2 linked regions of the Danio rerio genome follow. The protein of the gene in region 2 purifies or fractionates together with the protein of the main gene of each other region. This does not show direct contact. Links are inferred from orthologs where the notes say so. Each region holds a gene or a part of one and is shown on either strand. Other genes may lie near its edges.

Region 1 (4,583 bases), on a different chromosome or scaffold from region 2:
AAATATATATATTCATTCATTCATTCGTTTTCTTTTCGGCTTAGTCCCTTTATTAATCTGGGGTCGCCACAGCGGAATGAACTGCCAACTTATTCTGCATATGTTTTGCGCAGTGGATGCCCTTCCTGCTGCAACCCATCACTGGGAAACATCCATACACACCCATTCACTACGAACAGTACAGCTTACCCAATTCACCTGTACCATGTCTTTGGACTTGTGGGGGAAACCGGAGCACCCAGAGGAAACCCACGCAAACACAGGGACAACATGCAAACTCTACACAGAAAAGCCAACTGACCTAGCCAGGATTCAAACCACCGACTTTCTTGCTGAGGCGATTGTGCTACCCACTGCAACACCGTGCTGCCTATATAAATATATAGAGATCTTTTAAAAATATATATGTTAGGATTTATTAGTTTGTGTTTGAGTAAAATGCTAATATTTTATTCTGTAAGATACATTTGACATTTATTCCAAAGTTAAAATAAATAAATATTTATTTGTGTAGGCCTATTTGATAACGTAAAAATGTAAATCAACTAAAAATTACTTTGCCAGTATTACAAATGTGTTAATTTGCTGTTAATTAAAATCAGAGTTATTCTATCAAATATGTTTTGAGATTAAAACTTTGGTATTTAAAAATGAATATTTAAAATATATATATTTAAAAATTCTCTAAATTATATTTATTCCCTTTACTTCTGCTTAGTCCTTTTAATTATCAAGGTTTGCCACAGCAGAATGAACCGCCAACTTATCCAGCAAATGTTACGCAGCGGATGCCCTTCCAGCCGCAAATCAGCTCTTGGAAACACCCATACACTCACATTTACACTGATACACTACAGCCATTATTCAATTCACCTGTACCGCATGTTTTTGGACGGTGAGGGAAACCGGAGCACCTGGAGGTAACCCACGCCAACACGGGGAGAACATACAAACTCCACACAGAAATGCCAACTGGCCCAGAGCTCAAACCAGCAACCTTTTTACTGTGAGGCGACAAAGCTAACCACTGAGCCACCGTGAAGCCCATTATAAATAACATTTTAAATTTAAAAATAAAAAGTAATCAGGTTCCAAAATAAACAAATAGTGTGTTTTACTCAAACACGTAAATGGTAAATACAGAGACACTGGGCTTGGCCATGGGGTCACTTGATTTCTCTGAAGGTTTCTCAAAAAATGTTTGTTCAAAAAAGAAAATTCATTCATTTGTGGGGTTTTAGGTCCTATTTTGTACATTTATCTGACAACGCAGCACTTTTATCCTTCAAATTAACCTTACATGTTAAATAAACCATCGCATATCTGTCCTGTAAACCTTAAATATGTGCTAGAAAAAAAGTTCGAGTCAAATATTTCCCACAATGCTTTGCTCCCTGAGGATCTGGCTTGCGGCAGATCTGATCTAGGATCAGGGTAAGGTGAGGGAGCGATCCAGAGAGAGTTGATCTAGGATCAGGCGGTTAAAGACACTTATGGGCGCGGGTAAACTGGTATTATTGAAATATGTGGACTCTTTTAGAGTGACTAATAAACATTACTGAATCCGACTATAAAGTATGCTGATCTGAAGTGAGGCTCGGGTCTAAACAACTGACCTGAGATCAGGCTGCGGCGCGAGATCCAGTAAGAGCTGATCAGGGATCAGCAGGAGATGTGGAGGGCTGGGTTGGGTTGGACATTCAGCTGGTAAAAGTTTTCGTGCGCTTTTCTCTGGGTGTTGTTTGGACAGCGCTCGGGGGAGACTAACGTTATTTAATCGTCGGAAAGAGTTCGTAATGTTCGACTAAACACCGAAAACTGCCAAACGTCCACTAAACGCAAACGAATGGCCAGTTTTGTGCTTGTTTTCAGACTGTAGCCATGATGACTCCAAATTAGCTATCGGGCTAAACGCTCCGAAATGGACTCGGTTTCGCGTGTCAGTGCCAACCTGGATCCGGATTTCAGGATGAAACCGAAGTCTAATCGGTCCAGAGTCGATTCGGATTAACAATGCTCTCCAGAAAGAAGAGTAAAAACGAAGCGTCCAAACCACCCGAAGTTCAGGGCAAATATGTGAAGAAAGAAACGTCCCCTCTTCTGAGAAGTGAGTAATTTTAGTCAATCTGCCAAACAAATCCCCAAAATATAAAAATGGCAAACTAAATATCCTACATTGTTATATAATGTAGTCATTACACCGTGTTTGAAATCAGAACCCTGAGAGTAAAACACAATTTTAAGTGCATAAGGCTTTCAATAAGTAACATAATTCTCTTTAACAATTAGCCAGCACAATGTGTACAGTCACAACTATCAACCTAATAGACCTGTATTATTATAGTCCTGTTTATACGTTTTGAATTAATCAAAAGATAATGTGGCATTGCTCATATTTAATACTTTAATCTAAAACCATTTTCACTTACCACTAGCATATGTTGTCATTAGTTTAAAATGTCATATCTTTTTATTTACTTTAAATACAAAGGTCCAGAAGTAGAATGTTGTTGCTTTAACGTTACCCAGTTTAAGAAAATTATTCTTTAAAGAACACCTTAATATTTTGCTAATAATTATTTTTAAACTGACTGAAATTTCGGAAATCTTCACACAGCAGTAACACAGTATATTATTAAACATAATTGTTCAATATGGTAATACTGTCATTGTATTTGTTGCCAAATTTCGGATCAAATTGTCAAAACGGCATAATTGAATGGCATCAAAAGAGAGACTAATTCATCAGTCAGTAATCAAAACAGCAAGATGTTAACAAATGTGTTTTGTAGAAATCAGACTATCTTCAATTTTATGTTTTATCTTGAAATGTGTTTAAAGTGATGTTTAGAAGACATGGAAAATAATTGTAGTTTAGAAAATCTATATGCTTAAAAATTGTCTTGTATGTTTGTTTAGTATCTTATTCTAGACATTTTTAGTGTAATATTATAAACCTATATCGGAAATTTAAAGGTATAGCTTTTATGTTACTCTCAGGCCACTTGATGATCTTTAAGTAGACTTTATTTCTTCAGGAAAACATTAAAGAAGATTTTTAGCTGAAAATCATAAAATGCTAATAAAAGGTCCACCATCACTTTGAGAATAAAAAAATAAAAAAAACAATATACAGACAAAATAAAATTAATACCTTTGGCTTCTGACGATACACTGATATCTTACTGTATGAAGCTGAAATAATCTCCTAGTGCAAGAAACTGAACATTATTTAAATGTTTTTAATCCACACAAAGGAAGATATTTAAAAGAATGTCAGGAAAAAATTGGAAAAGTAAACATAATGGGTGTAAATATGCTACGAGATCTGTTTAGTTACTGACATTCTTCCAAATACATTCATTTGCAGACCTGTCGCCAGCCTATTGAAACGAGTGGTACTTTTTAATGAAAATTTGACCTTTTTTGCAGTTATTTTCCTCATTTTCTATTCAATTATGCGTTTTAGTGACTTTTTAAGAACTAATCTTTGCTGGATCAGCTTGATGGATGGTAATCATAACCACACTATTTTGATGCACAAAAAAATATTTACTACAATTTTGTCCAAAGTGCCCACCATAGTATTTTACTACGAAGTGTTTATTTACAAGCTTGGATATAAATTGTAAGTTAATCCAGTTTTATAAATAGTGTTATGAGATTAGTGTTTAACATACAAATTTATTATCATCCATCATTAAAAAAATAGGAATCTGGTAAAACTTGTTTTAAAATAAAAACTATAGCCTGTGGGCAAATAAATACTTTATTAAAATAAATACTTTATTAAAATTATTTAAGTCTTAAAGACTTCTTCTGTGTATAATTTTCACAATTTATGATAACATAGCAGTGAAAATGGGATAAATTAGCTCATTTGGGGGTCAAATTTTGGACTTTGTCAGTAGCAGGTTTGTCTTTTGAACCACCCAAACCCCCCTTGGCTACAGGCCTGATTTGTGTTCAGGAAAACAAAGATTTTCATATGGGATTGGACAAATGATGAGTAATAATGACAGATGTTTTATTTTAGAGTGAACTATCCCTTAAAGTATGCATTGATCCACTTACTCCAGGTTTCCCCCCATTGTTTGTTCTCAGATTTGATGCCCTCATTTATCCGCCATCCAACGTTCCTTCGACGCGAACCTCCATTAGTGGAGCCGGTTTCGGCTGGTGTGCCTGGTCCCGGTCCCGGTCCGTACACCACTGGATCTGTTGGAGATGTTAGCGGCCCTAAGAGTTTCCTGCGCAATGCTCCTCCACGGACCCCGCTAGAGGTTTCACGCAGAGAGAGTCACCGTCTGTCTGCCCCGCCACATCTTCATCGTGATTACTCCCCTTCCTCACCATCCTACATCAGCGATGCCAGTTCTGTAACAGAGAACGGAGACAACGGCCCGTATTACTATCCTCCAGAACCATACTACAATAACCAACCCAGACGAGCACGCAGACCAGACCACTTTAATGAGAACTACAGATACTATGACCACAATGAACTCAACTTCCCACGAAACCCAGGACAGCCCCAGACGCCTCAGCCACACAGCCGCCCTCCACCTGGTGAGTTACTTTTG
Region 2 (3,829 bases):
ACCGCACGGCGAATGAGAGAAAAAAAAACCTCCGCATTTCCCGGAAACTTAGATGCACACGGCAGATAGTGTCAGAAAGCCGCGTGTGTTATTCCGGTCACTAAATGCGGTGAAAATCCTACACGAAGGTAAAGTTTGGTTGTAGTGTTAACATGTTTACACTCGGTGCAATAGTTAGTTCGATACAAACAAACTGAATAAACAAAGAGCACTGGTCGCTCACTTACCAAATCTGTAGAGACAGGACAATCACCAGCAACTAGAGCCGCGCCTTTATTAAGAGGAGACGAGCAGCGAATCTGGATCTCAGCGTTTGCAGATGAGAACAGCTCTCAGGTAAACAATAATCCTCCTTAGACACGTAAGTTATTGTTGTCGAGCGTCGCATACACTGTTAATCCACACGTGACTCCAGCTGCGCTCTCACAGAGAGAAAATGAAAACAAAACTTCACTGCAGCAAACTATAAAAGCAACACTTCACGCTTGTTTTGCCAACACAACGTGGCGTCTCTGTCGTCTAAACACTGTGACAGTAATGAATATTAATGAAGTTGCACAATAGAGCGCGCTGATTGGTTTGAACCAAGCTTTACTCATGCATTAATGCAGCACACTGTAAGACGTAATAAGACTCACTCTGGCACAGACGTCCAGTCTGCACGCTGGAATACACGCTATTATGTCATGACCGTGACGCAGCTTCAAAAATTCGTTTCAAACCGGAAATACGAATTTGCTTGAAATAACGCAAAACAACCAATTTACACTTTTTAGTGAAATATAGGTGTCCTAATAGTGTTTTTAGCAGTGTGGGACACATATACCACTGTCAACAGCTCAACACATGTGTTTTGGTGTTTCGTGACCCTTAAACATTTTTAAAATTTCAGTACCGTTTGGTACCGAACTTGATACTTTTGACAACACTACTACAAACATGCTAATTCATGCTAGAAACTTGGTAGCAATGTTAATTCACTACAAATATCTTGATTTCTCTCGCGCTTTTACAATGTAGATTGTGTCAAAGCAGCTGAACACAGATGTTCTCGTAAACTGAAGCTGTGTCAGTCCAGTTATCAGAGTTCAGTTCAGTGTGGTTTAATGTTCACTGCTGAAAGCCTAAACACTGAAGAGCAAATCCATCCATGCGCAGCTCCACAAGTCCCAAACCAAGCAAGCCAGTGGCGACAACATACCATGGAATTTTGCGACTGACCAATCAGAACCCAGTATTTCAGACAGCCGTATAATTGTAAAGGAATGATCTATATTTCTGTTTTTGTTCATGTCTGTCGACAGAGATCAGCTACAGGTGTGTGCTGCATCTCTATTAATAATGCTTCCCTATGATATTCATTTAATCATTTAAAACTAAATAAAAAAATGTTTCCCAGTTATGGGTTGCAGCTAGAAGGGCATCCACTGCGTAAAACAAATGCTGGATAAGTTGGCGGTTCATTCCGCTGTGGCGACCCCCAGTTTAATAAAGGGACTAAGCTGAAAATGAATGAATGAAAAAATGTTTAAAAAGAAAGTAAACAAACTTCTCAGACTGTCATCTGTGTGCTTTCTGTTATTGCTGCTTATGCGGTCATATAGCCCAGAACACGTGCACACTCACTTGCATTTTTAATTTTAGGAGGAGTTAAATTTACATATGTGGTGTCAACAAGCAAAATACACCAGAATAAATTGTACATTTAGTTATTAATGATTATACCTCATATGATCATTTAAAATCATTCATGTCAATATTTAAGGTAAACATATTTACTTAGTGTTTATTTACAGCTGTGCACATTCTCCTGTCATTTTATTTTTATAGATCACAACCTTTGCGTGTTGTATGCACATTTCCACCCCGGTTTGTAAATAAGAGCTCGGGTGTAAAAAACAGGTCTGGATGTTGACTTGCGGTGTGTGTGTGTCGTCAGGTGATCATGTGCGTCAGGACAGCATGGACTTCAGTATGGAGTGGGAAGATTCCGCAAACTGCCGCTGCGGGGATCGCCTGAAGCCCCTGGAGCGCAGAGCGGCTAGACAACACCAGCGCTGCCTGGCACACTCTCTAGTGGGAACGCCCAATTACATCGCACCCGAGGTTCTGCTGCGCACCGGTATGAGCCGCACATTACAGCCGAACACTCAGTTATTCGCCCTCCTGTGAAATTTAGACCCTTTTTCAAATATTTCCCAAGAGATGTCTAGCAGAGCAAGGACATTTTTCACACTATCTCCTGTTATGATTTAGGGTAGAGAAAGAATTAGAAAAAGTTGTATTACTTTAGAACATGGTTTGTTTTGCTTGATAAATTGTTTTGAATCCTAGGCTACACGCAGCTGTGTGATTGGTGGAGTGTTGGCGTTATCCTCTATGAGATGGTCGTCGGTCAGCCTCCGTTTCTGGCCACAACTCCTCTGGAGACGCAGATGAAGGTGAGTTCTCCTGATGAGTTCAACTCCAATCTTAATTAAACACAGATAAACAAACAAAATCAACGAATGCGCAAGTAAATCCCAATGAAGCCCCCGTATAGATTTGTACTCTGATTTGAACACATCATGGCATTTCGAAATGGAGGTTTTTATTATTAAGGGAAAACTACTTAGCCCGGAGTGAAAAGTGTTTGAATGGTTTTGGAGTGGTCTGGTCAAAGTCCTGACCTGAATCAAATTGAGATGCGTGACCTTAGAAAGGTGGTTCCTCCTTAGCACTGTGACAGACTCATAGCAGGTGATCAAAACGCTTGATTGAGGGTTACAAAGTTTCACTCAGGGCTCTGTAGAATAGTATTTTGGTTTTCCCTTAATAGTAAAAATCTTTATTTTAAACTGCATGACGTGTTCAAATCTGGCAGTCAGTTATAGGCATGGGCCGGTGTAAGAATCTGATGGTATGATAACCTTGGATAAAAACATCACGATGTCACAGTATTGTGATTTCTGCTCTAATATATACTCTTTTTAAATGTCTGAGTAAAAACAGGGTTTTTGCAGGTTTCATCACATCAAATTTAAGACTTTTAAAGACCTTTTTAAGACCATTATCAATGAAATTTCAGACTATCACTGGGCAAAACACTAATACTTTTCTGTTATAATCAGTGGAATTTTTTTACTTGCCCAATTAAAATTAAAATTCAGTTATTTATTTAAATAATTTGTCAAACTCTCTATATATTTTTATTAGTACAACAATTCTTTTAAAAAAGACAAGTTTTAAAAGCTAGAATAAACAAAATTTATGCACAAAATAAATTTATTTTTTTTAAATGTAATTTTGTTTTCTAATGTTCAATAAATTTTCAGAATTCTCTAAATCAAGATTAATATTTATTTAGAGGGTAACTACACCTTTAACTTCTAGATTATTTTAATCTAGAATAATCTATATATAAAAACAGTATTTTTTGGTGTCATTTATTTATCTGAGACTCACATTGAGATACTAATCTACAAGTCTTCTGAAAATCAAAGCAAAACAAAATACTTTTCACAAATGCAATGTAGCATGAACAAAAAATATTATAGCAGTGAGAAATATCAAAAATATTAAATTAAAGACAATCAAAATGCCTCAGTTTTAAAGCTATAATAAACAACATTTATAAATGTGTGCATTAAAGCATGAAAACACGGAGAACTTGTAAACAAATCGTAAGGATGTAATGAAGACAATTAAACCATATTGCTAAATAGTTAATTTTAACTTTGTTAAACATTTTTTAGATGGATTTGTTGGTTGTACTAATAAGCTTTACATGGACAATTAGTGAAAATTATGACCTGTTTAAAAGTATTTAAGACCCACAACAGCACATTTC

What was found.
Region 1: the proteins of lats1 (region 2) and sav1 purify together in Homo sapiens (affinity purification with western blotting; 3 studies listed by BioGRID). This does not show direct contact. The link is inferred for Danio rerio from reciprocal best matches to the Homo sapiens genes LATS1 and SAV1.

What each region holds. Positions count from the first base shown.
Region 1 is NC_133188.1:40,261,533-40,266,115, reverse strand, and holds the start of sav1 (protein salvador homolog 1), read left to right. Parts: upstream 1-1,689; 5' UTR 1,690-2,013; coding exon 2,014-2,107; intron 2,108-4,104; coding exon 4,105-4,569; intron 4,570-4,583. UniProt on the Homo sapiens protein: Regulator of STK3/MST2 and STK4/MST1 in the Hippo signaling pathway which plays a pivotal role in organ size control and tumor suppression by restricting proliferation and promoting apoptosis.
Region 2 is NC_133195.1:1,290,036-1,293,864, reverse strand, and holds part of lats1 (serine/threonine-protein kinase LATS1), read left to right. Parts: intron 1-1,939; coding exon 1,940-2,122; intron 2,123-2,334; coding exon 2,335-2,441; intron 2,442-3,829. UniProt on the Homo sapiens protein: Negative regulator of YAP1 in the Hippo signaling pathway that plays a pivotal role in organ size control and tumor suppression by restricting proliferation and promoting apoptosis.